Linked DNA regions of Alligator mississippiensis. The protein of the gene in region 4 interacts with the protein of the main gene of each other region in a pairwise test. Links are inferred from orthologs where the notes say so. Each region holds a gene or a part of one and is shown on either strand. Other genes may lie near its edges.

What was found.
Region 1: the proteins of BHLHE40 (region 4) and AANAT interact in binary tests that used the Homo sapiens proteins (3 or more experiments, as listed by UniProt). The two-hybrid records come from large-scale screens. The link is inferred for Alligator mississippiensis from reciprocal best matches to the Homo sapiens genes BHLHE40 and AANAT.
Region 2: the proteins of BHLHE40 (region 4) and STK19 interact in a two-hybrid assay, tested with the Homo sapiens proteins (2 studies listed by BioGRID). The two-hybrid records come from large-scale screens. The link is inferred for Alligator mississippiensis from reciprocal best matches to the Homo sapiens genes BHLHE40 and WHR1.
Region 3: the proteins of BHLHE40 (region 4) and cytochrome c oxidase subunit 5B, mitochondrial interact in binary tests that used the Homo sapiens proteins (3 or more experiments, as listed by UniProt). The two-hybrid records come from large-scale screens. The link is inferred for Alligator mississippiensis from reciprocal best matches to the Homo sapiens genes BHLHE40 and COX5B.

Annotation. Positions count from the first base shown.
Region 1 is NC_081831.1:13,975,765-13,983,433, reverse strand, and holds the start of AANAT (serotonin N-acetyltransferase), read right to left. Parts: upstream 3,005-7,669; 5' UTR 2,648-3,004; coding exon 2,491-2,647; intron 447-2,490; coding exon 292-446; intron 1-291. UniProt on the Homo sapiens protein: Controls the night/day rhythm of melatonin production in the pineal gland. Catalyzes the N-acetylation of serotonin into N-acetylserotonin, the penultimate step in the synthesis of melatonin.
Region 2 is NC_081834.1:62,525,110-62,532,940, reverse strand, and holds the start of STK19 (inactive serine/threonine-protein kinase 19), read left to right. Parts: upstream 1-4,815; 5' UTR 4,816-4,910; coding exon 4,911-5,175; intron 5,176-6,363; coding exon 6,364-6,509; intron 6,510-6,579; coding exon 6,580-6,675; intron 6,676-6,780; coding exon 6,781-6,920; intron 6,921-7,141; coding exon 7,142-7,239; intron 7,240-7,312; coding exon 7,313-7,460; coding exon of another isoform or gene 7,461-7,464; exon of another isoform or gene 7,465-7,473; intron 7,474-7,831. Other genes in the region: DXO (decapping and exoribonuclease protein), read right to left, coding at 170-335, 658-752, 835-970, 1,961-2,180, 2,727-2,956, 3,681-4,063. UniProt on the Homo sapiens protein: DNA-binding protein which is required for efficient transcription-coupled nucleotide excision repair (TC-NER). Acts as part of a TC-NER complex which assembles and interacts with RNA polymerase II (RNAPII) when it stalls at DNA lesions.
Region 3 is NC_081830.1:10,720,514-10,725,786, reverse strand, and holds cytochrome c oxidase subunit 5B, mitochondrial, read left to right. Parts: upstream 1-3,847; 5' UTR 3,848-3,908; coding exon 3,909-4,017; intron 4,018-4,116; coding exon 4,117-4,187; intron 4,188-4,275; coding exon 4,276-4,375; intron 4,376-4,569; coding exon 4,570-4,682; 3' UTR 4,683-4,767; downstream 4,768-5,273. Other genes in the region: protein FAM178B, read right to left, coding at 1-96, 217-298, 475-580, 1,686-1,844, 1,994-2,086, 2,205-2,260, 2,407-2,672, 2,809-2,878 and 1 more. UniProt on the Homo sapiens protein: Component of the cytochrome c oxidase, the last enzyme in the mitochondrial electron transport chain which drives oxidative phosphorylation.
Region 4 is NC_081835.1:11,999,783-12,007,626, forward strand, and holds the start of BHLHE40 (class E basic helix-loop-helix protein 40), read left to right. Parts: upstream 1-4,838; 5' UTR 4,839-5,060; coding exon 5,061-5,140; intron 5,141-5,275; coding exon 5,276-5,345; intron 5,346-5,753; coding exon 5,754-5,861; intron 5,862-6,848; coding exon 6,849-6,972; intron 6,973-7,844. UniProt on the Homo sapiens protein: Transcriptional repressor involved in the regulation of the circadian rhythm by negatively regulating the activity of the clock genes and clock-controlled genes.

The DNA.
Region 1 (7,669 bases), on a different chromosome or scaffold from region 4:
ACCACAGCACCGTCCTCTTGGATGTCTTAGGTGAATATAATTCACTCACGTCTCTAACTTTGAAAGTGAGGCCCATGATCTGTCACTGACTGGCTTTCCAAGGAAAGCTGCAGAGCTTGATGAACTGACACCACTGTGACCATCCCTCCACTGCAAATGTCCCCTGGCTGAGGAGCAGTCACACCTACATTTGTTGGATTCCTGTCTCCAGAGATCGATCGTTGTCCTCCTCTTGTTACCAAGCATGAAAAGCACATGGAAGAGAGAGGAGCTATTGGGATCTGCTCTTACCTGGCTGAGTTTGTCCTGGTCCCAAAGAGATCCTATAATGAAAGCAACCAGTCGGCCTTCTTCAAACCAGCCAAGTGACAGCTCTGGGCACAAATTCAGGAAGTGTCGGATCTCATCCATGTGCAGGGGGCAATCGCCCGAAACAGATATAAATGCTGGAAAAGAACAAAAAGGCCACATGAAAAGAGAGCTAATCCACAGCGCCTCTGAGTCTGGGTGAACATCAGGCTAATTGAAGCTAATTTACATAACGGGCATGAACCAGAAGCTTGGGATTGAAGGGACTTTTGAAGGCCCAGAGGGATTGGGCTAGAGGGCCTCACTCCACTCAGGACCAAACTGACTGCCAAATGGCAGGTCAGGAAGGAATTTTGCCCCCAGGTCAGACTGGCACAGACTGCGAGGAGGAATATTGTCTTCCTTTGCACCGAGGCATGGTCCTCTTCCAGGTTCCTCTGAGCATGAGTTAACTCGCTAGGTCTGTCACTGCAATGGCAGTGTCCTCATGACCCTGTTTTTAGATGTAGCATGGTGTAGGGTGTTTCTGGCCTTGTGCTCTTTAGCTGCATACGAGTCTGAAGTGGCCGTCCTGGTGAATCCTTAGGCAAAAGGCTGCCTGTGCATGCAGGGGATTGAGATCAGTGGCTTCCTAGTCCTATGCTCTTAAGTCTGGGAAGTTTGGATCCAGCTCTAAACAACCTGAGCCTTTTTCTGCTTTCAGTAGAAGAAGCCAGAAGGCTTTGGGCTACCTCTTCTCATGTGCACTTCCTCAGCTACCTGCCTTTTAGAGACTGGATGCCTCACCGTTGGGACAGCAAAGCCCTCCGTTTTCCCTGCAGGACCACCCTCTGAACTGATGCCTGCTCTCTCATCCGCACAGCTCAGACCCCAGAAAAGTCCTCAACGGGATCATGAGTCCCTACTTGAACCTGTTCTGCCAGCAGTTTTCTCAGTCGTTCCTGCAGCATTAGGGCTTGGTTTCAAGCCAGGCACGAAGGTTTATGTAGCTTCACATTTCAGTGTCTGCTAATTGATGTGGGGAAAACCAAACCCCGCTGGTTTGGAAATGCAATAGCTGCCAAAGCTTGATGACGGGTAGTCTGGGCAGAGGTGAAGTATGTTGTGTTCGCAAAACGTGTGACCTTCAGGAACACCTTTGCCTTCTAGCAACAGCTGGGGTAACCTGTCATTTTTGTCTGGGTCTCAGCTGAATTCCTCTTGGGAATAACTCGTCTTTGGCTGTGCAGGTTTCCTGGCACACCTTAGAAATGGTCATGAGAAGGAACAAAGGGCAAAATTAAATCCAGTACTAAGCCAGGGTGTAGATCTGGGAGCAACGCTGGATATGGCTCAGCATCTTCAGGGCTTTGAAGACTCAGAGAATCCTCCTAAAAATAACTGGCCTCACTACAAATGTTCCTGGATCTAAGAAGCTTTTAGTCTGTGCCCTGCTGGGTGCGGAGGCCAAGAAGATTATTTCATGCTACTGAGTCTGGTCCAGATGGCTACAATGTGCAGGAGGTACGCAGCAGGGAGGGTAGGTGACTGTTTCTGGTCCAGGTGACTCTGTCCTTGCTAGTATAGTAGGAGAAAAGGAACAAGTGCTCTCCAAGCCATTGCGAGGTGCGCATTGGCATCTGACTGCACGAAGCCTGTCTGGGGAGCAGGTTAATGTGTCCCAAAAACATAGCTTCATGATGGGCCAAGGCGTTCCCTCACTGGCATCGTTCCTCGAGGCACAAAATGAGACCCTGACATGGCCCTGAAACAGGAGTCCACCCTCTAGCCGCCTCCTTCCCAGTGACCCCAAAGTCGCCACCATCTCTGTGATTCTCTCTGGGCTTGGGGGCTGGAAGAACGGGGAGCAGCGACTGTTTTTGGAAGGGCAAAGTGAATTTTCAGACAACTCTGTGAACAGCTGAACAGCAGGTTATAATGGAGCTGACACTAGAGACTCCCCTGGTATTTCCAGCCTGGCTGGTGGCTCATTCTTTCCCTGTGTTTGACTCTATAAAGCACTTCGGGCTTCAGTTTCTGTGAAAGCTGCGGTGGTAATTCCCAGCTATTTCTCATGTGCGATTTAATTGTGTAGTCTCCAGCCCCGAGGGACATTTCCATGCCTACTCTAGCATTTTTACTAGAGGGCAGGGAAGGGCTCTAAACCTAGGAAGGGGTCTGGCAAGGAAGAACGGTCCTTACCTTCCCTCTCGATCTCGAAGACGCTGATGGCATCCTCGGGGCTGAGGCACCGGAACTCGCTGGCCGGGAGCGTGTGTCGGCGCTGGCGTCCGGGGGAGCTGCGGGGAGACATCAGGTGAACGGGCTTCAGGAACGGCAGGGCGCTGATCACCGACATCTCCCGTCTCCTGTGCTGCTGCCCTCTGGAAATGCCTTTTGGTCACCAGCAAGTCGCTATATCAGTAAATCTTCCCTGGTGCGATCAGCCAGGGGCTGGAAATACCTGCTGAGCCACAAGGGATTAGGCAGTGTGCCTTCCTTGCTCTATATATACACATACCAAGCCCTGAACGTGCTCACACAGCAGCTTGGGCAGCCCATGCAAATGTTCCTGGGCTCTTAGTCATTGGTGCTGCCTGATGTAAATGAGGTTCGACCCGTCATGGCGCTGGGGCCCATGCATGGGCTGGGTTGCAGAACCAAAGCCCATCTACCCACCATCAGAAGCACAGAAACAATAGCCAGTGACCCAGCTGCTGGAGACCCGGGTGGGAACAACAGAGCACAGGGAGGAACCGTGGCTTTTAGAGGCAGCGGGGTTAAGCGGCGAGATGGGCAAGGTTAATGCGCTGACGTGAGAGAGGGACAGAACATCGCTCTCCGATCACCAGAAAGCTGGATCTGGGGGCTGCACAAGTGCTTTTAGAGCCTGATCCTGGCCGGGGCTGAGCATTCACAAGGTGCTGTGCACCCTCTGACTGCTGCAGCTCAGAGCCCCGCAGAAGCTGCTGAGCACCGTGGAGCATTGGGCCCTCCGTGCTGTCATGGCCTACTGCTTCCTGAGATACCCTTACAGGAGTCTGGGCATCCAGCAGGCTGGCTAGTCCCAGCTGGCCCTGGGTACCTGAGTGGGTCTGGCTGCCCCTGGCCTGACTACCTCCATCTGGCCCTAGTTACCTGCAGCTTCCTGCCTATAAAGAGCAGCCCTTTCAGCACCTGCTTATAAACAGCAGCCCTTTCAGCACCCTTGTTTCTCTGTCTAGCTCCGAGCTTCTGACTCCTTGTTCTCAGGTTCTGCTTGTTGTTTCCTGGCTCAAGTCCGGAGCATCTGTGTCCCGGTTGTCTCCTGACACTTGTTACCACTGAGCAATTGGCAAGCTGGACATAGAGGCCAAGGTTTTTCCTGCTTTGAGGCGGGGAGACTGTCCTACTGCAGGGGCAAGGGGTTGGAGAAAGGTGGTATGCAGAACGGCTGAGTTTGGAGCTGCCGTGTGCTAGGCTGTGGTGGGGGAGATATCGGGTATGGAGGGGGAAACCCACCGGCAAAGCTATTTAGCAGGGCAGGTGGCTGTAGAAGAACTGCCCAGCTGGAGTTTCCAACTGGGCTGGGAGCAGAGTGCAAGCAATGGGGATGCAAGGCCAGCATGGCCACCTTGGTTCTCACACATGCTCTGCCATCTGCCTTTGTCTGGCGCTGGTGCCCTCCCTTTTCCAAGAGCTGCTGACAGCTCCAATTGAAATGCCTGTTTTCTATGATACAAATGGGCTGTGGCTGGAGACAAGACATGAGCCCATAACACACAGGGAAGGACTTTGCCAGGACACATACCACCTGCATGGCTATAATCTGTCTCCGGATCCTCCAGAGCTAGACCTGATTCTGCAGTTCATCCAGCTTCCAGCCTTTACAGCACCTTTGCCACCAGGTTCCCTGGTTTGGTATGAGTAGCAGAAGGCTCTACAAGAGACTCCATGACTGGGGGCAAGTTGGATCATCTGCTCCCATTTGCTGCAGTGGGCTGCTTAATAGGAGGCTTCCACCATGGCTTGTACTATGGGGAAGGGAGGGATGTAGGAATTTGCTTGCAGCTGCTATTTCCCAGCTGTGACTATGGGGAGAATGATACACAGGTCTGCCGGTGAGATGCACTGAGGCTTAGCAAGAGGAGAAAAATCTCTAGCCTGAGGCTCCTTTGATTTCCCAGATGCTCTCAGAGCCATTCAAGGTTTGCTCAGCTTTACAAAGCAGTCCTTTATCCTGGGGGAGAAATCATGCATAAATGAGTGGGGGGGGGGGGAGATTACTGAGTCCTTTGTCATCTACACATGAGGCAATCTAACCTGAAGTCAGGGATGAGGATAAGCAGATTTTGACTTGCTTGGCTCCCTCAGCAGGTGGATGACACCAGCTTATACTTGGTTATGCACTTAGGACAAGTCTGCATGAGAGGACACGTGGTTTATAATGATGTAGCTTGTGGGTGGGAGCTATGGCGGTATAAAATCCTAGATGGTAGGTAAGCCAAGTTGTAGTAGTTGGATGTGGCTGTTTTATTTTGAACCTTAGACACTCCTATGCACTAATGGATCCCTTACGTGACTTAACCCTTATTCTCTGGACTTGGCCACTGTTTCTTAGTCTGAGAGTCAAATTGACCTTTCATGGGTCTGGAAGAAAGGGAGCTTCAGAAAGTTATTCCAGCGGCGAGTGGAGGCTGCCCCAGGCCTCATGAATTCTCAGGATGGTATTGCACGGCTGCTTTGGTAAAAGAGTAAAAGTTATCCAAGTGACTGAGGTCTTTCAAGAGTAGCAGGTAAGCTGTTTACAGTTAGAATGAGTTCACCATGACTTTGGCGGTGGTCCCATGGTGAAGGGGTGGTAGGACCTCACAGCAGTGCATCCCTCTGCTTTGAAAGGGCAAGATCTGAGCATAAGTTGGAAAAGTGACTGTTAAGGAGTAGATTCAGCTATGCTGCCTTGGCTTCCCAAGTAGAGGGCCTGCCCAGGCAGGGAGATGCTGCTCTACCATGAGCAAGAAAAGCGCAGGCTCATGCTCTTGAGTGGCTCTTTCTTCAAACCCTGACCTCCCATCTTCTACAATATGATTGATTGAAAAGAAAGTCCTGGAGACCCTGCCTATAAGTCTAATCCAAAGCCCATCCAAAATGATAGAAAAACTACCTTTGATTAACGGTCTTCAGATAAAGCCCTAAACTCTTGTTGGCCAATGTCTGTATTTCATCCAGTGCAGGCTTTGGCCTTGGAAGCAGCTTCCAGCTGGATCAAAGACTTCCAGGACAATAACTGGCAGCAGCTTTTAGTGACCACTTTTAGGTTCTTTTAGTATCTGTTCCCCTCTGCTCAGCTGCTGATTCCCAGCAGGTTTCCCAAAGAGCTAGAAAAATTAGTGGATCACCTTGTGACAGAGAACGGGAAAAATTGCACAGGGTGCATCTACCTGGGTCCTAGTTTCCATAGATCATGAGACACTTAGCTCCCACCTCCAGCAGCAGTCAGGCTGGGCAGTGAGACCTCCACTCCCTCCATCCACTGTGGCAAAAGACATAGCCACGTGGGGTTGTATAGAAACAGGCCCAAGCTACAAAGTTCTGCCCAGCTGAGTCTACAGCAGATTTCAGCGTCCTTGCACAGTGATTCCACGGTTCGTGGGATGTAGGTTTCTTGGTGGAGCAGCTACTCTGAAGAGAAGCCTGTGCTGAGCAGGGTGTTTCTTCCTATATCCTCTTGAACTACATACACACATTTGGCCTGATCTGGAAACCATTGAACATAGACTTCAGATCAGGCCTTTCTATGGCCAATGTAGGTGCTAAGGGCAATTGTTTACAGTCAAAGTATGTGATCTTGCAAATATGTGCATGGCTTATTACTTATGTGTTCCAAGGATCAGGACCTTTGTAATCTGGTCTAACTGGGAATGGCAGCAGAGGTATGGAATGGGCCTGAAGATATAACATGGTGACAGTTTATCTTTCTTGCGGAGAAAAGGACCCAAATCAAATCTCCCCAAGCTTTGAAGAACCTGGAAAATGGCTGCAGATCCCAATCTGGACTTTATCACAGGCCCTTAACCTTTTTGTGGGCTTACGGTGTCTCCCCTAAGAGCATAGACAAGCCTTGATCGTGGTGGATGCATACACAATCCTTTATTGAACCTAATGAACGGAGGCCTTTAGTTCCCATATTAGCTGGTCACAGCCTGTTGTACCTGACCTCACAAGACAGGATCGATTCTTCACAGCCCAACTAGATCTCTAGATGTAAAAACCTCAGACATGGATTAAACCCTACACCTTGAACTTGCCCCGAACTTCTGGTGTGCGCGCTAGAGAGAGTGAGCACCAAATGATTAAAACTAGATAGAAGCGCATAATATTTTTGTACAACTATCCATTAAATTCACAGGAAATGCACTTCCCACAGCTGGAGGTAATGGGCAATTGTGCCTAAAAGCTGACTCTCATGAACAGAAGTGTATCATATGATTGTTTGCCAGCTAAATACAGGCAGTGATCATTGCAAACTGAATGATCAGTGTGATATCAGGTTACTCAAGATTACTGATGGGCAGGTGCTAGTCTCAGCTTCTAACAATAGGCCTGTAACAGGTTAATAGGATTTTCAGAAAAAAGAAAAAAGCAGACGCATTGCTGGCACTGAGAGAGTGGTGTAGAAACAGGACTATGGGGAGTTGAGAACAGTGTGCTTGGAAATGGTTTCTGTGAGGGGGAAAGCTGGTTCTTCAAAGCGTAAAAGGTTTTTCAGTAAAGGGCCTTCTTCAACACTGATCCTGATTTGGAAAAAAAAAAAGTGTGAGAGAGGGCAGGAGCTGAGTGGGAGAGTGACCGGATTGTTCAAACATCACATTTTGACATTTTCAAAACAAGGTTTTCCACTTTTGACAAGACAGTCAACTAGAATGACAGTCTGGTTACAAGATCTACCTAATTTATAGTAGGGGGGAAAAGCCCAATTAGGAAAAGGTCAAAATCAAAATGTTTTAATTGATTCCATTAATTTATTTCCCCTCTTTTTTTTTATGGATTATCCATTTAAAAAAAAAATTAAATTGACTTGTCATGCTCCTTTGAAGTGAGGAGATAAACTCATGCAGTTGTGCCAGTAAACGATGTCCAAGAAAATGGACCTATCTCGGGCCCAGCTCTCACTGTTAACAAAGTATTGCTGCTTTTTTTACTTATAGTGAATTGCTTTATTTGTTGTGTGTGAATTTAGGGGCACAGGACAGTTTCTCCAAAATGTTGTAATCTCTGAGCTCTGGAAGCAGAGATGTGATATTGCACACGTATTTGCGTGATGAGCGTTATCTTGGACTAGACTTTGAAGAGTAAAAAGAGAACAAGGAGAAAACATCAGATGGGAGAGGCCTGATTAGAA
Region 2 (7,831 bases), on a different chromosome or scaffold from region 4:
TCATGGGGCCAGGAGCTACTCCAGGGCTTGGGGAGGCTGTGACTCTGGAGCCGAAGTCCCACCTCAGTTACTGTATTTTCCTGTGTAAACTGCTCCCTAGCTAGAAAGAGACCTACAGAGACAAATGGACAGCAAAGGTGTGGGGTGGCTCCGTCGTCCCCCCAAGGCTTTACTGGGGGTCTGCTGGGTTGGGGGGAGCCTGGGGGGGCTGTGGGGGGCTTGGGTCCTGGGTCAAGGCCTCGGTGTACCAGGTGGGCAGGAAGTTGTAGTCGGAGTCACGGTGCCGGGTCCAGGACACATGACAACCAGGCTCCCATGCAAACAGGGTCACCAGCCTGGCAGGGGGGCAGAGAGGGTGGGTCAGAGGAGCCTAGATGCCTGGGTTCCCCGGGGGGGGCTGGGGGACCCATCCCTGGGAGATGGATGAGGGTTGGGGGTGTTGAGAGCAGGGGCTGGGAACCCAGGTGCCTGGTTCCTTCTACTGCAGCATACGGGTAGAGTTTGGGGATGGGGTCCCTGGACACCTGGGTTCTTCCAGCAGGGCATGGGGTAGGGATGGGTTCCCCTGAGATCAGGCCCCCCACCCCCAGGGAGGGCGTAGGAATGGAGTTCAGGGGAGAAGTGGTTCCAACACTCCTGGGTCCCATGTATGCTCACCGGGGGTCATCCTGGGTCACAACGTGAGAAAGGAAGTCCAGAAAGGCCAAGGCGAAGTTCATGCAGGCAGCCGGCTGCCAGGCCCCGGGGTCATCCTGCAGGGGGTACGGGGGGGGGGGGGGGGGGGGGTCAGGATCAAGGGTCAGTGCAGGTAGCGGGTAGGGGGCAGGGACTCACCCGCACAAGCTGGAACATGGCAGCTGTCTCGTAGGTCTCCAGTGCAGCCACGGAGCCGTCGGGCTCTCGCAGCCCGGTCACTACACGTGGCACCCCAGGTAGGAATGACTGCGCCCACCACTTCAGCAGCTTGCGCCTGTGGATGGGGGGGGGGGCTGTAGAACCCAGGTGTCCAAGCTCCCAGCCCCCACTGCCCCAGAACTAGAGAGAACTGAGGTGTCCAGGTTGTCTCCCCACCCCCACCAGGAGCGGAGGAAGAACACAGGCATCCAGGATCTTTCACCCCAACCCCCAGTATCTGCCTGAGGTGGAGAGGAAACCCAGGTGTCTGGGTGTCTCATCCCCACAGCCCTCCAGGTGTACTCCGGAAGTGGGAGGGTCAGGGCTCCATGCAGTGTGGCATGGGGCAGGGCCTCACCAGAAGACATGAACCTGCACAGGGTCATAGGTAGAGTCAGGAGTCAAGAGCTGGGGTCCACTAGAAAGCACTAGCTGAGTGAGGGATCAGGGCGTGGGGTCTCACCAGGACACGCAGGGCTAGGGCAGAGACTAGGGAGTGGAGTCAAGTGTTAGGTCTCTCCAGAAGATAGGGGGCTGGGTGTGATTAGGGTCTCACGGGAAGGCATGGCACTGGGTGGGGGGGTAAGAGAGTGAGGAATGCTGGACAGGGTCAAGGGGCAGAGGCAGGTCAGGAGGCAGGGATGAATTGGAGGGCATGGGGTAGTGGTAGAGTCAGGGGTCACACTTCACTGGAAAGCTCAATGCTGGGCAGAGGGTGGGGCTGGGCTCGGCTCTCTCCAGAAGGCAGACCCTGGGAAAGGTCTGGGGTCATGGGTGGAGCCAGAAAATGAAGAAAGTACAATGCTGGGTGGGGTCAGGGGCTGGAGCTAGGGTCAAGCTTCCCCAGAAAAAGGGGGGGGGGTCAAGAAGGAAGGGTCAGAGGCTCACCAGAAGATGTGGCACTGAGTAAGGTCAGGAGTGGAGTCAGGGGTCAGATATTACCAGGGCTGGGATGGGCCCTGGATAAGGTCAAGGGCTCACCAGATGATGTGCTGCTGGATGGGGCCAGGGGTCAGACCTCAGAGAAAGGAGCGGCGCTGGCTGGGATCAGGGATCAGGGACTCACCGGAAGGCACGGTGCTGGGCAGAGACGGTGGGGGTGGCCGTGGTCTTGAGCTCGACGTAGCGGGCAGGGTCAGGGGCAGGGCCAGGGGCGGGGTCAGCGCAGTCCACCTCGGCGGCGAAGAGCAGCGAGTGGGGGCCCAGGCGGGCGCGCAGCACCGTGCAGTAGGCAGCGTTGGTGTTCACCACCCCCCCAGGTGCTGCACCGCCCCCCGCCCGCTCTGCTGGCACAGGGGGGGAGGGAGGGTCAGCCAGGACATCTGGGTTGTCTTGTGGGGGAGCAGGAGGCTGGAAACCCAGATACCTGGGGTCGCTCCAGCGCTGGGGCTTGAAGGGTTCTTTGGGGGGAAAATGGGGGCTGGGGGGCCCAGACTCCTGAGTTCTTGGTTGGGAGGAGGAGGAGGCTGGGAGCCCGGACACCTGGGGTCTCTCCAGCACTGGGGCTGGGAGGCTGGGTTTACTGGGGGGAAAATGGGGGCTGAGGCCCCAGATGCCTGGGTTCTTGGGGGGTGAGGGGGGCTGGGGGTGAAAGCTGGGGGACTAGAAGCCTGGACACCTGGGTTGTCTTCTATGCTGGGGGGGGTGAGAACAGGAGAGCCTAGGAGCCCGGACGCCCAGGTTCTTTCCTGAGGCACAAAAGGAGAACGGGGTCTGGTAGGTTAAAAGAGCATTGGTCTGGTGCCCGGGGCCTTTCCCAGCTGTGAGTGGCCTGTGGGGTGGAGCAGGGGGGGGGGGGGGGGAGCAGGGAGCCCAGACACCTGGGTACTCACCAGCACACATGTACTGCTCGAACTTGTAGCCCATGTAGATGAGGCGCCGCAGGTCCTCGGACCGGGCCAGACGCTGGGCACGGGCGGCCACCGTCTCCACCTCGCTAACATAGATGGTGCCGTGGAAGCGGGTGGCAGCCAGAAGCCAGCCCTCACGCCGCTCGTACGGCGTTGTCACCACTTTGGTGAGGTGCCCACGCCATGTCACCACGTCCGCCGCCACCGGGCGCCTACCAGGGGGAGGGGAGGAGCGTCAGTAGGGACCAGGGTGAACAGCCCTGGGCTCAGGCGCTGAGTGCTCTGATTTCATGCCATCCCCCCAGTGTCTGAGGGGGCACCGCTGACCCTCACACATGCTCAGCAGTTGCCAGCTGGAGTGGAAAAGGAATGCTCCCATCAGTAGGGACCAGAGTAAACAGCCGTGGATCACAATGGAGGCTCCAGGGCTGCAGGTCCTGCCTTCACAGCACCCAAGTGCCTGTGGGGACATCACTAACCCCCATGTGTGCTCACCTGGTGCCTGCTGGGGAGGGAAAGGTGGGCAGAGCCATCAGTAGGGACCAGGATGAACAGCCTCAGGTGGGACTGAAGGCTCAGAGGTAGCAGACTCCACCTTCACTGTACCCCCTAGTGGCTGGGGGGCAATACCAACCACATAGGTGGTGCCTGCCTGGACTGGGAGGGGCAGAGCCATCAGTAGGTCCCAGAGTGAACAGCAGTTTAGAAAAGTCCTTCCCAGGCCCGCAGCACCCCCAGGGCTGTAGAAGACCCTAATCACCCCCACCCCCTAGGGCTGTGGAGGAACCCATTCATCCACCACCTGGCACTCCCAAGGCTCATGGAGGACCCCATCCACCCACCCCCCACTCCCTGGCACCCCCTAGGGCCCTGGTCCCCATTCATCCACCCTCCAGGCCGTGGCAGACTCCATCGACACGCAGGACCCCAGCTGACCCTTGGCCGGGGCGGTGGCCAGGCAGGCGGCACCGGTTGTGCAGGACCCAGCGCAGCAGGTGGTCGAGGCCCTCGCGGACGTCCTCATCGCGGCGCACGTAGCGGTCCTGGTAGCCGTCCAGCAGGTCGAAGGGGGGGTCGGGGCGGTGGTCGGGGGGCGGGGCGAAGTAGCGCAGTTGCCGGGCGTCGCCGTGGTAGCGGCGCTGCTCGTCCAGGGAGAAGTGTCCGACCTCAGCCGGGCGCCCATAGAAGGGGAAGGGCCCGGCATAGCACCCTGGGGACACGGGCAGGGTGCGGGGGGGCGCGCTCGGGGCGCGCTGTGGGGGCGGGGCCTCAGGGTCATCCTCTCGGGGGCGCTTGCGGGGGTGGGCGGCGGTTGCCATGGAGACCTGGGGACGTGGGGGGGAGGGGTGAAGGGACCACCACTGCCTCCCACCATTGACACCCCAAGATTCCCTTAGCCCAGGTGGGCCCCCAGGACCTACCCTGCCTCAGTGACGTCCTGAGGCCCTTCCCACTTAACCCTTGACCCCAGGAAGGAAATCCCCACATCTCCTCCCAAAGGGACCCGCGTCGAGCCCACCTCCCGACCGCAGAGCATTCTGGGATGGACAGCCTACGCGGCACCCCCGAGGGCCCCTATGCCCGAAGGCCCCGCCCCTTTCTCCTCCCCCTCCCCATTGCACTCCCGGGCTCCACCCAAGAGCTTCACCCTAGGCCCCGCCCCCACCCTTGAGGCCCCGCCCCTGGGCAGCCTTTAGGCCTCCAAAGGGAGGCCCCGCCGGGGGCTGTGACTTTTGCCCTTTGCACTCCCAGGGTCAGCCCCCCGCCGTCTGGCGACCTTTGACCCTTCACCGCCGCCGGCGACTCCCGTGTCCCTCTCAGGCCGCCGCGGTGGCGCGAGTTCCGTGTGGCGTCATCACAGAGCGACGGGGAAACCCCGCCCCCTGCTCCTGGGCGTGGCGGTGACGTCAAAGGCCCCGCAGGCGGCGGGCCCTGGGACTGGCTGCTACGCGCAAGAGCAGGCACCCCGCTCTCAAAAAAGATGGCTGACAAAGGCAGGGCGCTTGCCCTCATCCAAGATGGCCTCATCCGGCTGGTGAGCTCCAGCCCTGCCCACAAAAAAGATGGCGGAGGGTAGCTTTGCGCCGCACATCCCCAACCTTTGACCCGGCAGCGCGCCCACGTGACAACTCCTTGCCTGCTCATTTAGTCTCCCCCAGCACGCCCATGTCATTTTTGAGCGTAGTTCGGGGGTTGGGTCCTAACGTCACAACTCATTTCCGGAAAAGAGGAAGGTGCTTGAAGCCTCTTCCGCGTGAGCTGACGTCGTCCTCCGGCGACCCAGCCTGGCTGGGAGTCCTGGGGTCGGAGAGGGGGCGGCGTGACGTCATCTCCCGGGGACCGGGGGCCATGGAGCGGCGCCGCCGTCGCCTCCTTGCCGACGCCTTCGGGGCCCACAAGCGGCGGCGGCGGCGGCAAGAGCCCGAGCCCGGTGCGCCTGGGTCCCCGGGGCAGGCCCAGGAAGCCTGGGCTCCTTGGTGGGGGGCAGGGCACGATGCCGGGGGTGCCAGGGGCGCAGCATTGCCAGCCCCACCCTGCCAAAACACCATGAGACGAACTCATAAACAATCAAGAGACTGGCACCTAGATCGCAGATGCTATTTTTGAAGTGTGTGTGTGTGTGGGGGGGGGGGGGTTGTGAAGGCTTGGGGGGCTGTGCGTGTGTGCAGGGTTTGGACCCGGGGAAGGGGGACCCCACACACCCTGGCAAGATGCAGGTACTGCGGGTCAGGAGTGAGGGGCAGCAGCAGGGCTGGGGGTGGGAGTGAGGGGCAGATGCATGGAGACACTGACAGATGCACAGATGGCTCTGAGCTGGTAAGTGGAGGGAAAGGGGGGGTGCAAAAGAGATCTCTGTGGTGAGGGAGGCACTGGGGCAGGGGTGAATGGGGCACTAGGGCCTCCCCTCCACAGCGCCGCACACCCTGAGGGGAGGCATGGCGGGGCATGTACCTGCAGTGGGCAGCTCACCTCTGTTTTGCAGGGGCATGGGCTGCCCATGCCTCCCCCAGGGGTGCATGCTCCTGCAGGGGACCACCCCCCAGTGCCTCTGGATGACCTGCCTTGGCCCGGGGCCCCATTCACCCCCACCCCTGCTCCTGCCCCACCGCCTCCCTCACTGCGGGGGCCTCAGTCTGCCCCACACCTCACCCGTTCCCTCTCCCCTGCCCATTCCCTCCACTTACCAGCTGGGGAAAATCTCAAGATCTGAGAGTTGGATCAGGAAATCAAATGTCAGAGTCATTTTGACTTCGAAATCCTGAATTTTGTGATGGCTTTGTGACAGTTGGCATTAGTGAAGATACTTGGGTCCCCTCGGGGAGGCAGGATGCCTGGATCCCTGGAGGGTGGTGGGGCAGGATGCCTGGGTCCCTGGGGTGGGGGTGGGGAGGACTGGAAGTCTGGGCTTCTTGGTGGGGGTTGGGGGGCAGGACACTTGGGTTCTTTGGGGGGTGGCTGCCTGGGTCCTCTGACCAGTGAACAGATCCAGCTGGGTGAGACCAGGAGGGGGCTGGGAACTGGGTTCCCTGGGGGAGAAGTGGGGGGTGAAGGGGGGCTGCAAGCACCTGGACATCTGGGTCTCCGCAGCAGGGTCTGACCCAGTGCCCCTGTTTCCCAGAGGGCCGTGAGGCAGTGGAGGGGGCGCTGCACTCCTTGGCTGCGCTCTTCCCCCGGGGGCTGTTCGATGACGCGCTGCCCCCCCTTGTGCTGCGCCACCAGCTCTACAGCCTGGTGCCTGCTCGCACAGCTGTGGACCAGCACCTGGTGAGCCCCCGGATCGGGCCCCTGCCCCCCACTAATATTAGGGCCCCTCTGACTCTCCCCTTCCCCCCAGAACAGCATGAAGGAGGAGGGCCTGGTCCGCCTCTTCCAGCTCGGCTTTGACACTGATGCCTTCGGGGTAGTCTTCACTGAGGACTACAAGGCCAAGGTTGGGCTGGGCTGGGCTGTGGTTGACTGTAGGGTGGAGGAGGGCTGGGTGTAACAGGGCAGGAGCTATGGCTGGCTCTTGGGTAATGGGTCCTGGTCCCATCAGGTGGTGGAGGCGGTGGCGGGAAAGGAGTCAGAGGCGCTGGTGCGACGCTTCCTGGACTCGGTGCTCACACCCTGTGCTGACATTAGTTATGACATGGTGAGGATGATGCAGGACTTCGGTTTCCGGGACGCCGACATCACGTGAGTCTGTGACCTGTTACACCCAGCCCTGTTCTATCCCAGAGCCAGCTGCAGCTCCTGTCTCCATTACACCCAGTCTGATGCCCCCCAGAGTCAGCTGCAGCTACTGTTCCTGTTACACCCAGCCCAACACCTGCCCTGGAGCCAGCTGCAGCTTCTGTCCCCATTACACCCGGCCCTACCCACCCAGAGCCAGCTGCAGCTCCTCCATGCCTCCCCAGGCAGTTGGTGGGCGCTGGAGTGCTGACGGTGCGAGACGCCGGGAGCTGGTGGCTGGCCGTGCCGGGTGCTGGACGCTTCATGAAGGCCTTCCTGCGAGGTGAGTGCTCCCCTGATCCACTCCTTCCCCTCCGAGGGCTGGGCTCCCCTGACCTGCCCCCTTCCTCCTGTAGGGCGCAAGGCCGTGCTGGCCCTGATCCAGAAGGCTCGGTACCGCGAGGTGCTGCTGGCGGAGCTGCAGACCCGGCGCCCGCCCCGTGCTGTCCGCCTGGGGCTGCCCTACCACATCCACGACCTCATCGGGGCCCAGCTGGTCCGTTGGTGAGGGACCCAGGTGTCTGGGCTCCTATGTCACCCCTCCAATCCAGTCCCATGTTGGGGACGGGACACGGGCATCTGGGATTCCAGGGCAAGGGGACCCAGGCTCCCACATCATGTCCCTAATCCATTCTCATGGTTGAGGGAGAACCCAGGCACTGGGGACTGCAAAGGATGAGACCCCAGGCAGGCATCCGGCCTTCCAAATCATTCCCCACTCCAATTTCACCTGGAAGGGACCTGGATGAACGGGCTCCTGCCTGCCCGCCCATGCCAGGCTCATGGGAGGGAGGGGACCCAGGCACCCAAGATGTGGTAGGGGGGATCCAGCCCTTCCGTCCCGCCCCCCTCTTTTGCCTAATCTCCTCTTCTTT
Region 3 (5,273 bases), on a different chromosome or scaffold from region 4:
CCAGGGGCAGCTGGCCAGGAGGGCTGAGGGTGGCCTGGTGGGCACCCAGGCGCTGCAGTGCCTGCCCCACCTCACCCAGTGATGGGCACCACAGCTCTGTGGGGGGGAAAAGGCATGAGATGAGCAGGGTCCCCATGCCCCTGCCGTGAGCACTAGGCCCAGCCATGGCAGGGGAAATAGGCAAAGCCATCCACCCTCCCCCATGCCTGCACTGACCAGGTGCATCAATCTGCTGCATGCTGATCTCCCACAGGGCCTGGAAGGCACTGGGGGCGGCACCTGCAGGCTGCGATGCCAGCTGAGGGGGGCAGAGATCAGAGAGCACATGGCTGCCTCCAGTAACTTCCCATAGCCCTGGCTATGTCCTGGTATGGGCAGCCACTGACCACCCCTGGCTCCCCACTCATAGAACCCACCCTGTGGTTCCTCTCCCATATCCTGGCCTGTGTGCCTGCTCTATGTGGCCAGACTTACCTGGAAGAGCCAGTGCAGGACAGGTGGGGGGCAGGCCAGCACATGGCGGTACAGCAGAGTGAGCAGCCCGGTGCGCACGAAGGTGACCTGCCCAGCTGGCGTGGCACTGCCCAGGCAGGAAGAGGTTAAGGGGGGGGGCAGGCCTTGTGCCATCCCCCACAATGCCCAGGGCCACCCCCCATACACTCCTGGTATCTCTGGGGGGCAGGGATCCAGCCCAGCAGGACTGGGACCCATGGTGGGGGGGGCAGCATTACTATATATAGTGCAGGCCCGAGGCGGTCCCAGCTGCTCACATACAAAGGGCACAGAGGGTGGGAGAAGAACACAGAGCCTTTGTGCCGAGACACGCACACGGCCACGTGGAAGGCGTGCCCTCACGCACATGCACATGCTGTCCCCGACCATGTGCCCCATGCACACATGCCTCTGTGCATGTCACCTTGCACACACAGACACATGGCCCTGTGCAACGTGTATGTGCAGCCGTGTTTCACCTGAGTCCAGACATGTATCTGCATGCAACGTCCAGGTGCAACAGGCAAATCCATGTGATGTGCATTCATGGGTGGCACATGCAATGCAAGCACCCCTAGACACACAGACTCATGTAACGCGTAGTCACACACGCCCAGATACAGACACATGCAACACACACGCTTCTGGGTGATGCACAAATCCATATGCCATGCACATAAGCCCAGGCGACATGCATGCAATACACACTCCCGCAGCCATCCACCCAGGGACGTGTGTTGCAGCAGGCAACACCCATACCACACACATGCTCAGACCTGCAGCCACATGCAACATACAGGCAACACAGACATGCATCCCCAGGAGTTCGGCCCATGTAGTCATGTGTGAAAACTACCTGCCCCCACAGACAAGCCTGTATATGCAACACATGAACACACATGAGTGTGCCATCTCCGACTTCCTGGGCTGAGTTGGTGTCTGATACTCCCCCTATCAAAGGGCCCATTGTCCTGGGGTTGGGGTGGGGGCAGGTGGGGGTATGGAGGAGGGGCCCTGCCCCATCAAGGGTCCCTTTGTTCTACCCTGGGATGGGACAAGAGGAGCTAAATACAGGCAGCTGATGGGGCAGTTACAGGCTCAGGCCGGTTCAACAGGGCAGCTTCCCTGCCATGGGCCAGTTACAGGCCAGGGGGTAGTTTCCAGGGGACAGAAGCGAAAAAGGGGGTACTCACTCGAGAAAAGCAGCCTCAAGAGGGCTCTGGGGTGCCAGGCCATGGACGCACACAGCTGGGAGGGACGCAGGGGTAGGCATGGCCTCCCCAAAGATGCCCTCCCCAGGGGGAAAGTCTGGCAGCTCACTGGTGACCAGTGCAAAGCGCTCCAGAAACAGCCTGCAGCAGGAACAAGCACAGGCATCTCAGTGCCAGCCTGGGGGCCCCCCTACTGCCCATGCCTGGTGGGGATCTAAGCCAGGCTGTCAGACAGCTTAGGAGGTAAACTGGGGGGGGGAGGGAGGGGAGCTGTGTGTGCTATGTCCCACCTGTGCTCCTCGGGCATTGGTGTGTCATCGGGTGAATCTTCAGAGCTGTCATCGGGCAGTGTTGGCAGCCCCTCGCCCACCAAGCACCAGGCCCTGGGCATGGCAGCACTGAGCATAGGGCGGTGCAAGGGCCAATGCTCCAAAGCCACTCCCATGGCCATGCCCGGCCCCGCACCGGGGCCCACCCCAGCGTACATTCCCCATAGCTCACCTTCTCTCCTGCAGCAGCGCTGCCAGACTGTTGACATCAGGATCTGGCTGCAGGCCCTGTTTGGTGGAGGCAGGTATCATTCTGGGGGCACTGTGCCCCCCCACCCCCACCCCTCAAGGCACTGCTGGACACTTCCTGGGGGCAGGAATGTGCCCAGCAATACGCATCAACCCCTTAGTGATGCCCTTGACCTGACACTCACCATGCCAGGCTCCGGGAGGATCCGTGCTGCTCCCCCCAGCAGCTGCGCCAGGGGCAACAGCTCTTCCTCATCGTCCTGCTTCTCCCCAGATCCAGCCGTATCCTGGCTGGGGGACACCATACCAGCCTGGCAAAGGAAGTCCAGCTGCACAGGGCTCCAGTCAGCTGGGAAGGCCTCATCAGGGCTGGTGTTGGTGCCCTGTGGCAGATGCGGCATCCTCTTGGACTTCCGGTGGGGGGCCCTGGAGCCGCGCCAGTGCCTGGAGGCTTCAGAGGGCAGGAGGACAGTCACTGGATGGCTCCTGCTCTCCTCAGCAGAGCCTGGTGCTGTGCCAGGGGGTAGGAGTAATGGGGGCAGAGAGGGCTGATGCCCGACGGTGGACCTGGAGGGGTCTGGTGTTACCTGCTCGGCATGGGGCAAGGCCCAGGCTGCTCCGGGCTCTACTGCCTCTAGGTCGCTGGCTCCTGCTATCCTGTGGGCCCAGCAGGGTCAGGTGGGCACAAGAAGGGAGCTGATCTACCCCAGGACTGTCCCTACTTGCCCCAGGGGCAAAGGGCTCACCTGGGCGGGCGGGGAGGCCGGGTCGGGGTCCCCGAGCAGAGCGTAGGGGCGGCCGACACGCAGGCGCTTGGTGAGGCGCAGCTGGCGGTAGCGCTGCAGGCTGTCCTGAAAGCGGCGGCTGAAGAGGCCCGTGCTGGGCGCCCGCAGCGAGGACAGTGGGATCTGGTACCAGCGCAGGCCCCCCAGGATGGGCAGCTCTGGGGTGGGCACTGGGGCCACCACCGCCTGCTGGGCCATGGTGCCAGGGGGAAGAACTGGGGCCTGGAGCGGGGAGAAACAGTGTCTTGGCACTTGATGCAGGGGGTGAAGCCTCCAGGATGGTTTTTTCCTGGGAGCTGGGGCCTGCGTGGGGAAGCAAGCACTCGCTGTGACCACACCACTGTCCCCCTGACGTCACACGATGCCCCCGTGACGTCACACGTGGCAAGGCAGTAGGGTTTAGTGGTCAGAGCAGGGGAGTGCTTGGAGCCGGGCGCCTGGGCGCCATCCCCAGCTGGGGGTCGTCGCCCCCCGACCTCTGCCCTTGTGGGCGGAGCCAAAGCCCCACCGCTCCCGCTGCCACGTGCTCCGCGCCTTCCGAATCCCAACCGCCGCCTGCCCAACGCTCCCCTCCGCGCGACGCCCAATCAGCAACCCCGCCAGCCGGACCAATCAGAGGCCGCACCTGCCCCGTCAAACGCACCCAATCAGAGCACGCAGGGCGGTCCTCTGGAAACCCACCCCCGGCCAGCAGGTGGCAGTCGCCGGCAGAAACCCAAGGTCACCCCCTCGCCGGGCTCACGGAGACCCCGCCCCCGTCTACCCCCAGCCTCTCTGGCCACGTGGCGCGGAGCGGCCAATTCCCGCCGGGCGCTTCAGCGGAAGTACCGCCCCGCTTCCGGCGCTGTCCCCGGAAGTAGCCGCAGTCGTCAAGCGGCCTGGTGTAGTCTCTGTTGGACGTTATGGCAGCCCGGTTTCTGCGCGCATACGGCGCCCTCCGCGCCCTGGGCGCCCGCCACTCGCCCGCGCTCGTCCTGCGCCTTGCTGCGCCCGCCCGCACCGCCGCCGGAGGTGAGGGGGGCCGGGGAGCGTGGAGGACACAGGCGTCCGGGGCAAGGGCGGGGGGCGGGCCTGGCTGACTGACGCGGTGGTTCCCTGCACGCCCTGTAGGCGTCCCCACCGACGAGGAGCAGGCAACCGGGCTGGAGCGGAAGGTGCTGGAGGCTGTCAAGAAGGGAACGGTGAGCACGGGGGGCGGGGACTGGGACCAGGCATGGGGGGCTCTGGGGGCCCTGGTAGGTGCTGATGCCCTCGCCTTCCTCTCTTCAGGACCCGTACAGCATGTTCCCACCCAAGAGCCAGGGGGGGACCCGGGAGCACCCCACCCTGGTGCCATCTGTCAATGAAAAGCGGATTGTCGGCTGCATCTGTGAGTGTCCGGGCAGGTGTAGTGGGGACGTGCTAGGGGAAGAGCCTGGGGTGGAGGTGAAAACAAGGGCTCTGCTGGAGCTGGGGGTTAGGGGGCAGAAGTAGCCCTTTGTCCTGCTCTGTCTCACCCCTAGCAGCTGAGGGTGGGAGGGGAAATGTTCTGGCTGTGACCCTGATCTCACTCTCTCCTGGCAGGTGAAGAGGACAACAGTGCCATCATCTGGTTCTGGCTGCACAAAGGTGAGCCACAGCGCTGCCCATCCTGTGGGGCCTACTACAAGCTGGTGCCTCATGAGGTGCCCCATTGAGCTCCTTGCCCTGCCCTGACCTGCTCTACTCTATTTGCCCCTATGTTTGATTCTGGGAGAACAATAAAGTTGTGACTGTCTCCTATTTTGCACTGTATTCTTCATTGCCTGGGGCCAAAGGATGAAGGTGTATCTGCCTTCTCTAGAGTCGTGCCTCTACGCTCGTTGCACCTCAGGAGAGCCTCAGCCTGGGGCAGGGACCCTGGATTTGTGTTATGTTGGGGGAGCGGTGCAAAGGACTGGCCCCATGTGGTGTGGGGGTGCTGGGAGTAGTAGCAGCCTCGGATGAGCCAGCAGTCCCAGCCCAGCGTGGCACGGGTTACTGCTCTGGGAAGGGGAACAAGGTCCCAGGTATGATGGGGAGGGAGAGCTTGGCTTCTACCCAAGGCCTGTGCATGTTGCCTGGGGGGTGAGTTCTTGTTATGTAGGGGGGAGGAGATGCCCTCCAGATGCATGGTAGGGAGAGCTCAACCTGCCTTCAAACTTTGGGGATAGCACGAGTGGCACTGCTTGTATTAACCTCCAGAGGGCAGCAAAGACTGGTGGGAAGGGAGGGGGGTGCCAGCCCTGCATTAACCACTTGCATGCCAG
Region 4 (7,844 bases):
AGTGCCAATGATTTTAGGAACTTTGCATCCCAAAATTCCCATTTTCGTAATTATGAGGGAAACTGCTCTGGAGGAGAAAGCTCCATGCACTCAGTTCCTTTAGCCAGCCCTTGCACACCTTGGAAAACAACATCCAAGCCCTTCCTTGCTAATGTATCTGTAAATAACTACAAATCCCCATTGGACACGAGCTGTTGCTATCCTATGATACTCAAATGCTCTAAAACTACCATTCAAAAGGCCAGATTCTCCCTTAATGGCTCTGGAAAATAATGCCAGTTCTTTTACCATTTTGCTTTAGTCCCTATGAGGTGTCATAAAAGAACCTGCCATGGAGAGGGAGCTCTGCAAACAAAACTGTGGCAGCAAATTGATAACCTCATCAGCCTTAGTTTATGGAAGCAGAAGCAGTAGCTCGACAGAAGAGTGTAATTCAATTCTCCCTCAATCGAACTTGATGCCCAAGAATGTAATAACTTCATGAGGGGCCCTCTTTTTAGGGGGATCTTTGCCAACCACCCTTAAGGTCATCAGTAAATCCTGATACAGAGTATTGTTTGGCAAGCGTACGCCCGGTAAAAGGGCTAAATCATGGGGGATTACTTCTGACCCTGCTTTGTAGCTCACCACCCATTGCAGGAATGCACTAAATATCTCTCAGAGCAGGCAAAAGTCAAACAGCCCACGTGCATGCATTGGCCCGCATCTATTTTGACTTTAAACATAAAACTCAGAACGAAGAAAAAATAGCAAACCCTGACCCTAAAAGTTGGACCTTGCCATAAGAAGCCTGCTGCTATGAACCTTAATTATTCCTATGCTTTGATAAAGAAACATTTTAGATGGTGAAACAAGACTAGTAGGTTAAACTCATTTCTCATTTCCTCCTCAGTGTCACAACAAGCAGCTTAGATCTTTAAAACAAAGAGTTTTACTTTTCATTATTTATGCAGTTTGCTTTACATATTTATCGCAGTTGTAGTAATTAACAGCCAATGAGTCAACCTCACTTTTGTGACAGTTATTACCAAATGTATTTAAGTGCCACCCTGGGAAACATTAATAAAGACAATCTCTGCTCTGAAGAGCTTACAATTGAAGGTCCTGGCCCTACATGCTTAATTCTCAGCACATGAGTAACTCCTTTCAAGTCAACGCAACTACCTTGGCACTTAAACATATAAGTGTCTGCCACATCATGTCTTAAGGGCCAAGACCTGAAGATGTTTGAAATGAGTGGCTGGCCATGGCAATGAATGCTAGGCTGGGTCATACAGTTTCAGGCTGGAGCTATGAAACACAGATGAGACCAGATCCCCACAGCATAGTTTTGTTTTGATGCTCTCAGTCACTACCACCACGGGCTCATTGTTTAAGCAGTGGATACCGCAGGGGTCTTGTAACTACGGTTTCTAGAAAACTGACCTCTGGGGCCTAGCAAGAGTAGAGTCAACTGAATCACCCTCTGAAGTCACAGGTCAACAGTACTAAACTCTCTTAAGGCTTCTCATGCAACCACACACTCATCCAATGATGGTGTACTTTGAAACGAACATGCCACCTATACTAGCATAAAACATTATCTCTGTTCACCAGCAAAGCAGTTGTTGACCTCATGCTCCTGACGGTCCCAGGAGCCACAGGATGAGATAGGGAAACCTTTGACAAACTTTCCGTGCCAAGTTTTGTTAGCACCTTATCTGGATAAATATACCTTGTGTCTTGTGAGCTTGCCTCTACTTGTGCCACGTGCAGCAAGGAAAATGATCCCAGCCCTCCAAATCAATAGGTTGCTTTGGCAGCTACACCACCATAAGCACTGTTAGCATTTGCATAATAGCTGGCATCTGAGAATCAAAGAGATCAAAGAGTTAAACCTTCCCAAACCCCACTAAGATAGGTAAGTCCTGCTACTTACTTGCAATGCTTTCATGGCTGGCCCTGCTCTTGCCTATTTTGTTCCTGGACTTGTGGAGTTTGGATGCTTTTCAGGGGTCTTCCTGGCTCTCCACTTAAGACCTCGTGTATACTTAAAGGTTTTGCCAAATTTGCTGTTCCTGTGTGGTTAAAGCAGTACCATTTCTGGCCCCTCTTTCCCCCCCACAACATAGTAGTGAAGCCACAGTTTTCTTGCATACAGATGTTTATTGCAGTTCAGTGAAGGGAAATAAACCATGCTGGAATATGGTCTCCATATTCAGGATATTTACCCGTATGCCCATACCATATAATGGTATGGGCATACAGGTAAATATCACAGGCTTCACCAGCATAGGAAGGCTGATATATATATATATATATATATATATATATATATATATAGTGTAGATGAGTCCTGAGCTACAGCAACCTCAGTTCTGTGGCCTCGCTTCCACTTTGCTTCCCATGGCTCTGCCTGTAGAGTAATGGACTTTAGCCATACTCCCATCCACTGCTACAATGGGCTCTGAGTGGAAAACAGATGTCCTCAAAGGCATCCATACCCAATTTAAGGCCCATATGTGTACCCAAACAGCATAAAAGGACCCTAGCTAAGCAGAGAATTGTGACATGAAAGCTTAAGTGATTTACAGAAAGTCCCATGGCAACCCCTGGCAGCAGTGGGACCAAAATCTAGAAGTCCTAACCCCCTGTCAGAACCCAGGATACGAGCTCCTACCACCATAAGGGCTTACCATAAATTGATACACATTTGGTCCTGCTTCCACCTTCAGTAAATGAGTCAGAGAAATGGATGCCAGGGCAACCCAGCTTCCTTTGTGAGCACTATGCCTCGCCTTCCTTTTTTGCATGAGGATTTCTGGGGCCCTCAGTGTCCTGCTCACGTTGCCAGTGAAGCTGTACTCAATCAGCCTTTGACCTCGCAGTGGTATCAGCGAAACCAACCCCTCGCCCTGATTTCTGTCCCTTTTGGCTCAGCTGCACTCCCCTCATCTCGCACGTCTTGCATGTTGCCTTGTTCGAACCACCAAATGCTTCTCTGCTCTCAGTGCCATTCCCACGCCTTGACATTTGGGCTGGGATATTCCCGGGCCAGCCGCACAACGGCATGTGGAAATCACTAAGGATGACGCAATGTGTTGGATCTGGAGCTGCGTTTTATCAAGCTGTTAGCCACTGGATTACTACAAAGTATAGACATTTTTTATAATAGCTAAATACATTGAAAACAGATGTAGCATGTTCTGCGTCTGTTCCCTCTGGAGAGCTGCCACGATTATGTAATAGCTCAGCTGGGGTGGCAAGTCTCTTTCAGTGGGTGGTAAAGCATTTGCCTAGGGTGACTTTGGGGCCCTCTCTCACTTATTTCCCTGCCGCTTGTGGCAATTTTTCAATTGAAAGTGCTCAGAAGAGTCATTTTTTGGCACTGTGTTTTATGAATGCCTTTCCCCCGCCCTGCCTTACTCCATTAAACACGGATAATAAGCTCAACACATTGCAGTCAGGTGCAGCCAGCGTGCTCTGCCTCTGCTGTGCTCCACAGACTTGGAGCCCTGCCCGCTCTGCTCAGAATAATACCCGGCGCTTAGCCGCTTCAAAGTGCTCTTACAGACGTCAACTAATTAATCTGAACAACACCCCTCCGAGGGAGGTGAGTTAGTATTACCGGCTCTGCCAAGCAGATGGGAGAGCTGGGGCACAGCCCCGAAGGGACCTGGCCAAGGTCAAAGGCGCCCGTGTCAGAGGAGGGAGGGCCGGGTTTGCTGGGCTCGGCTCAGACCACTAAGCCGGCCACACCTCTGCCTTATGTAAGATCCCAGCGCTTTCCCACGGGAGTGTCCCGTGCCCTCCGCACGACAGCCCTGGCGCTGGATGCCCTGCTCCAGCCTCGTGGGGCAGCCCTGCAGCCTACCCTGGTTCTCCCCATCCAGCCAAAAACACCCGGGGGGGCGCTGGCTCTGGCTGCGCCCACAGCCTGGCTCTTCTTTCATGGGCCAGGACCCAGGCTGGGGTGGAGGGGAACTCGTCCCCAGATGGCAGAGCCCTGGGCACTGAAGGGGCAGCTGGGGACACTGGAGAGGCAGTGAGGGGGAAGCTGGGCGTGCTGCGGGGACACAGAGGGGGCAGTGGGGGGACGCTAAGGGGGAACTGGGGGTGCACTGAGTGAGTGCATGGAAGAGGCAGTTAGGGCACATGGGGGGCAATGAGGGACGCTGAGGAGGCATGGAGGGTGCACTGGGGACTCACTGAGAGGCACTTAGGGCACTGGGGGCACTAAGGATGCACTGGAAGCACACTTAGGGTGCACTGGGGGCTCACTGAGATGGCACTGGGCACTAAGGGTGCACTGGAGGCACACTGAGGGTGCACTGGGAACACTAAGTGTGGGGGGTTGCACCAGGGGCACTAAGAGTGCACTGGAGTTGCACTGGGTGCTCACTGAAGTGGCAGTGGGGGGCACTAGGGGTGTACTGGAAGCACACTGGGGTGCCCTGGGGACACTGAGACAGTGGGGCACTGAGGTGGCACTAAGCATGCACTGGGGTTGCACTGGGGGCTCACTGAGGTGGCAGCGGGGGCACTAAGGGTGCACTGGAAGCACGCGGAGGGTGCACTAGGAGCACTAAGTGTGGGGGGGCACGTAGGGGCGCACGGGCGGCAGCCGCGTGGGCACACCGAGGCTGCAGCAGGCAGGCGGGCGGGCGGGGCGGTGCCGGCCGCAGGGCGCTCCCCCGCACGTTCCGGCCGCAGCCGCCGGCGGCTCGGGCGGGCGGGCGGGGGGAGCTGAGCGGAGCAGAGCGGTGTCCGCCACGTGAGGCTCATGTGACGGCAACCCTCCCTCCCTCCTCCTCCTCCCCCCGCCCGCCGCCGCCGCCGCCAGACGTGCCCGGAGTCACAGGGTAGAACACGTCGCTCCATCCACCCACCCGCTCCCATTTAACCCAGCCTGCCGCCTCCCCCGGACTCCTCACTCGCTCGCTCAGTCGCTGCCGACCGCGGCGGAGCGGCATGCCCGGCCCGCGCTGAGTCGAGCCGCCCGCTGCACCGGCCCCAGCCACCGCCAGCCCCGGCCCCGCCGCGCCGCGCCGCGCCGCAGCACCAGCCCTCCTCGCCCGGCCATGGAGAGGATCCCCAGCGCCCAGCCCCCGCCCGTGTGCCTGGGCAAGCTGCCCGCCCTGGACAGCCCCGACATGCCCGGGTAAGCCCCGGCCCTGCGGATGCCCCCAGCCGGGCACGGGCTTGAACCTGACCCCGGGGCGGAGGGGGCTGCAGCAGGGACGGGGCTTGAACTTCGATTAAAATTAACGCCGCTTTGTTCTCCCCCTGTGCGCAGGCTGGACTTCGCCCACATGTACCAGGTCTACAAGCCCCGGCGAGGCTTGAAAAGGAGCGAGGACAGCAAGGTAAGAGGAGCCCGCCTCGCCCGCGCCATCCACTAGAGAGCTGGCGCTGGCCGCCCGGATTTGGGGCGGCCGGGGGTGCCCTTTTGCTAGCGCGCGCACAAGGGTGGGAGAGAAGCCCGGACAGCTTGCCTTGCCCTGCCTCCAGGTTTCTTGGAGGTGGGACGGTTGCGCTTGGCGTAACCCGCGTCTCCTGCAGCGGGGGAAGGAGGGCAACCGAGTTTTGCAGGAGTTGAGCGATGCTTCTGCAAGGGATGAAGCCAGTCGAGCTCCCTGGTGACATCGCCGGGAGGTCGCGTTTTAGTTTCTAGATCATTTCTGATCGCTGTGTCTCTCCATGGTGCTAGGGACTCATTTGGGATCTGGGCTGACTGACTTAGCCACCTTTCTCTCCCCGCTGTTGGTTTGCAGGAGACCTACAAGCTGCCCCACAGGCTGATAGAAAAGAAAAGGCGGGATAGGATTAACGAGTGCATCGCCCAACTGAAAGATCTCTTACCAGAACATCTCAAACTTACAGTAAGTGAAAATCTGGCTACTGGCCAAGCTCCTCTTCCTTTTTGGGGTGCGTGCGGGTCTCCTGGATTTCTGTGCAAGTAAACGTGCCATCTAGAGGCTTCCTTTGAGCACTGCAGCATAGGCTGGGAAAGGCTGAGATTTGGCTGGAGTTGCCACTTTGATCTTCCTTTAGCATTAGATTTCCTTGCAAAGGCAGTGAATTTCTATACCAATGCCTGTAATGCAGTAGGGAGGGAGAAAGATAAGACCTGAGCTGCTGCTATGGTAAAATCGGGCCTCTTGTAAAGGTCATTAATGCACGCTTGAATTTTAACATCGTTCGGCAAAGGTTTGGGCATTTCCTTTTGGATCTTGGAAATGCTTCATGCTGCTCTTTGCAAAGTAGGACCAGATGCCAGTTACTAGACGATCCCTAATTTATCCCACAGTCCGGTCCTTTTAGATTTTGTTTCAATGCTACCTACTGCCAAGTTTTAAATGATTTGCTACATTCACATAGTGGAGTAGATATTCAAGGTAGCAACCTCTCCTGCTGTAGCATTCGGGACTTCTGGTTTTCAAAATATGAGTGTTAAGGGGCTGGGGGTTTTTTAAGTATATTTTTATCGCAGAACTTTATTGGGGAAAGCTATTTTGGTTGCTACTTTGCAGGTTTCCCCTCTCCTGTCGCTGTTCAAAAGAACCCTTGATTGGAGTCCCTGGTGTTAAGGTCACGATACCGGCAGGAGTAGCAGAACAGATAAATAAGATACTTTCCTCCAAGCTATGTAGTTGGTCCCAAAATACTCATAAGACATAACTACAGCTTTCTCTGCAGCCAGCACCACCTTGTTTTTTTTTTTATGGCTTACATAAACTGTGGAGTCAGAGCCACTTATTATTCAGGATAAAAGATTTTGCAGAGTAAGGACACTGTTAGCTCTCTCCCATGGCAGTAACTCTCTTTCATTTCATCAGAACTGTACTTATGTGTCCTTTTGTTTCCAGACTTTAGGTCACTTGGAGAAGGCAGTGGTTCTTGAACTTACCTTGAAACACGTGAAAGCGCTGACCAATCTCATAGAGCAGCAGCAGCAGAAAATAATTGCATTACAGAGTGGTTTACAAGCTGGTGAGTATTCAAGTCATGCTTGTATCACGTGAGAGTCCTAGTGTGCAGAGCAAACTCGCTTTCAGCTCCTTTGAAATATGGGTGACTTACGAGACTAGGTTTTGGAGAAGGGACATGTAAGCACATTCCCCCACTCCTTTAGTTACTCCTGCACCCTTCTCCCTGCAGCATGTATGTGTGCCCACATGCAGAAAAGATGCCCTATTTGGTTCATTTATACTTGGCCATGATTTTTTTTTCATTTTTCAGTTCAACTGAATATTAAAATATTTCATTTGGAAGTACATTTTTACTGGGCGGCCTAATCCAAAGATACACTGGCCAGAATCTTTCCATTGATTTGATGAGCTTTTACATTTTTTATTTATTTTTTTTCTCAAACAGACGAAAGCATCTGTTTAACCCACACTTTTTTGGTCTCTCCAGTAATCAGTTTGCCTACCCTTCGCAGCTTGAGGGGGAACCAGTCTAAAGGGCTTAATGATGTTCTAAATCTGTTTCGTACCTCCTTCTTTTCCGGCATTTGGTTGCATCTGGTAGGATAAAATCAGCTTTTCTAAGAAGGCTGCTACTCTTTCCACAGCCACGGGGTGTGCAGTAGAGTTACACAGCCAGAGCTGGCGTCACTTGTCAAAGTTTAAGCCCAGTCCTCCCTGGGGTCTGGAACTGAGGGGGAAAGTTTGAACTCTTGCACTTTTTTTTTTTTCCGATGGCTGTGGAATAGGTGTTTTCCTGATGAGTCTTTTTTGCTGTTCTTCTCAAACTAGCATCTGATTGCCACATATAATGAGTTGAAAAGTGAAACTTGTATGTGAAGACTCATTCTTAGATGGATATGGTAAAAATGGGTATTCAGCTTGACCGTAGCGTGA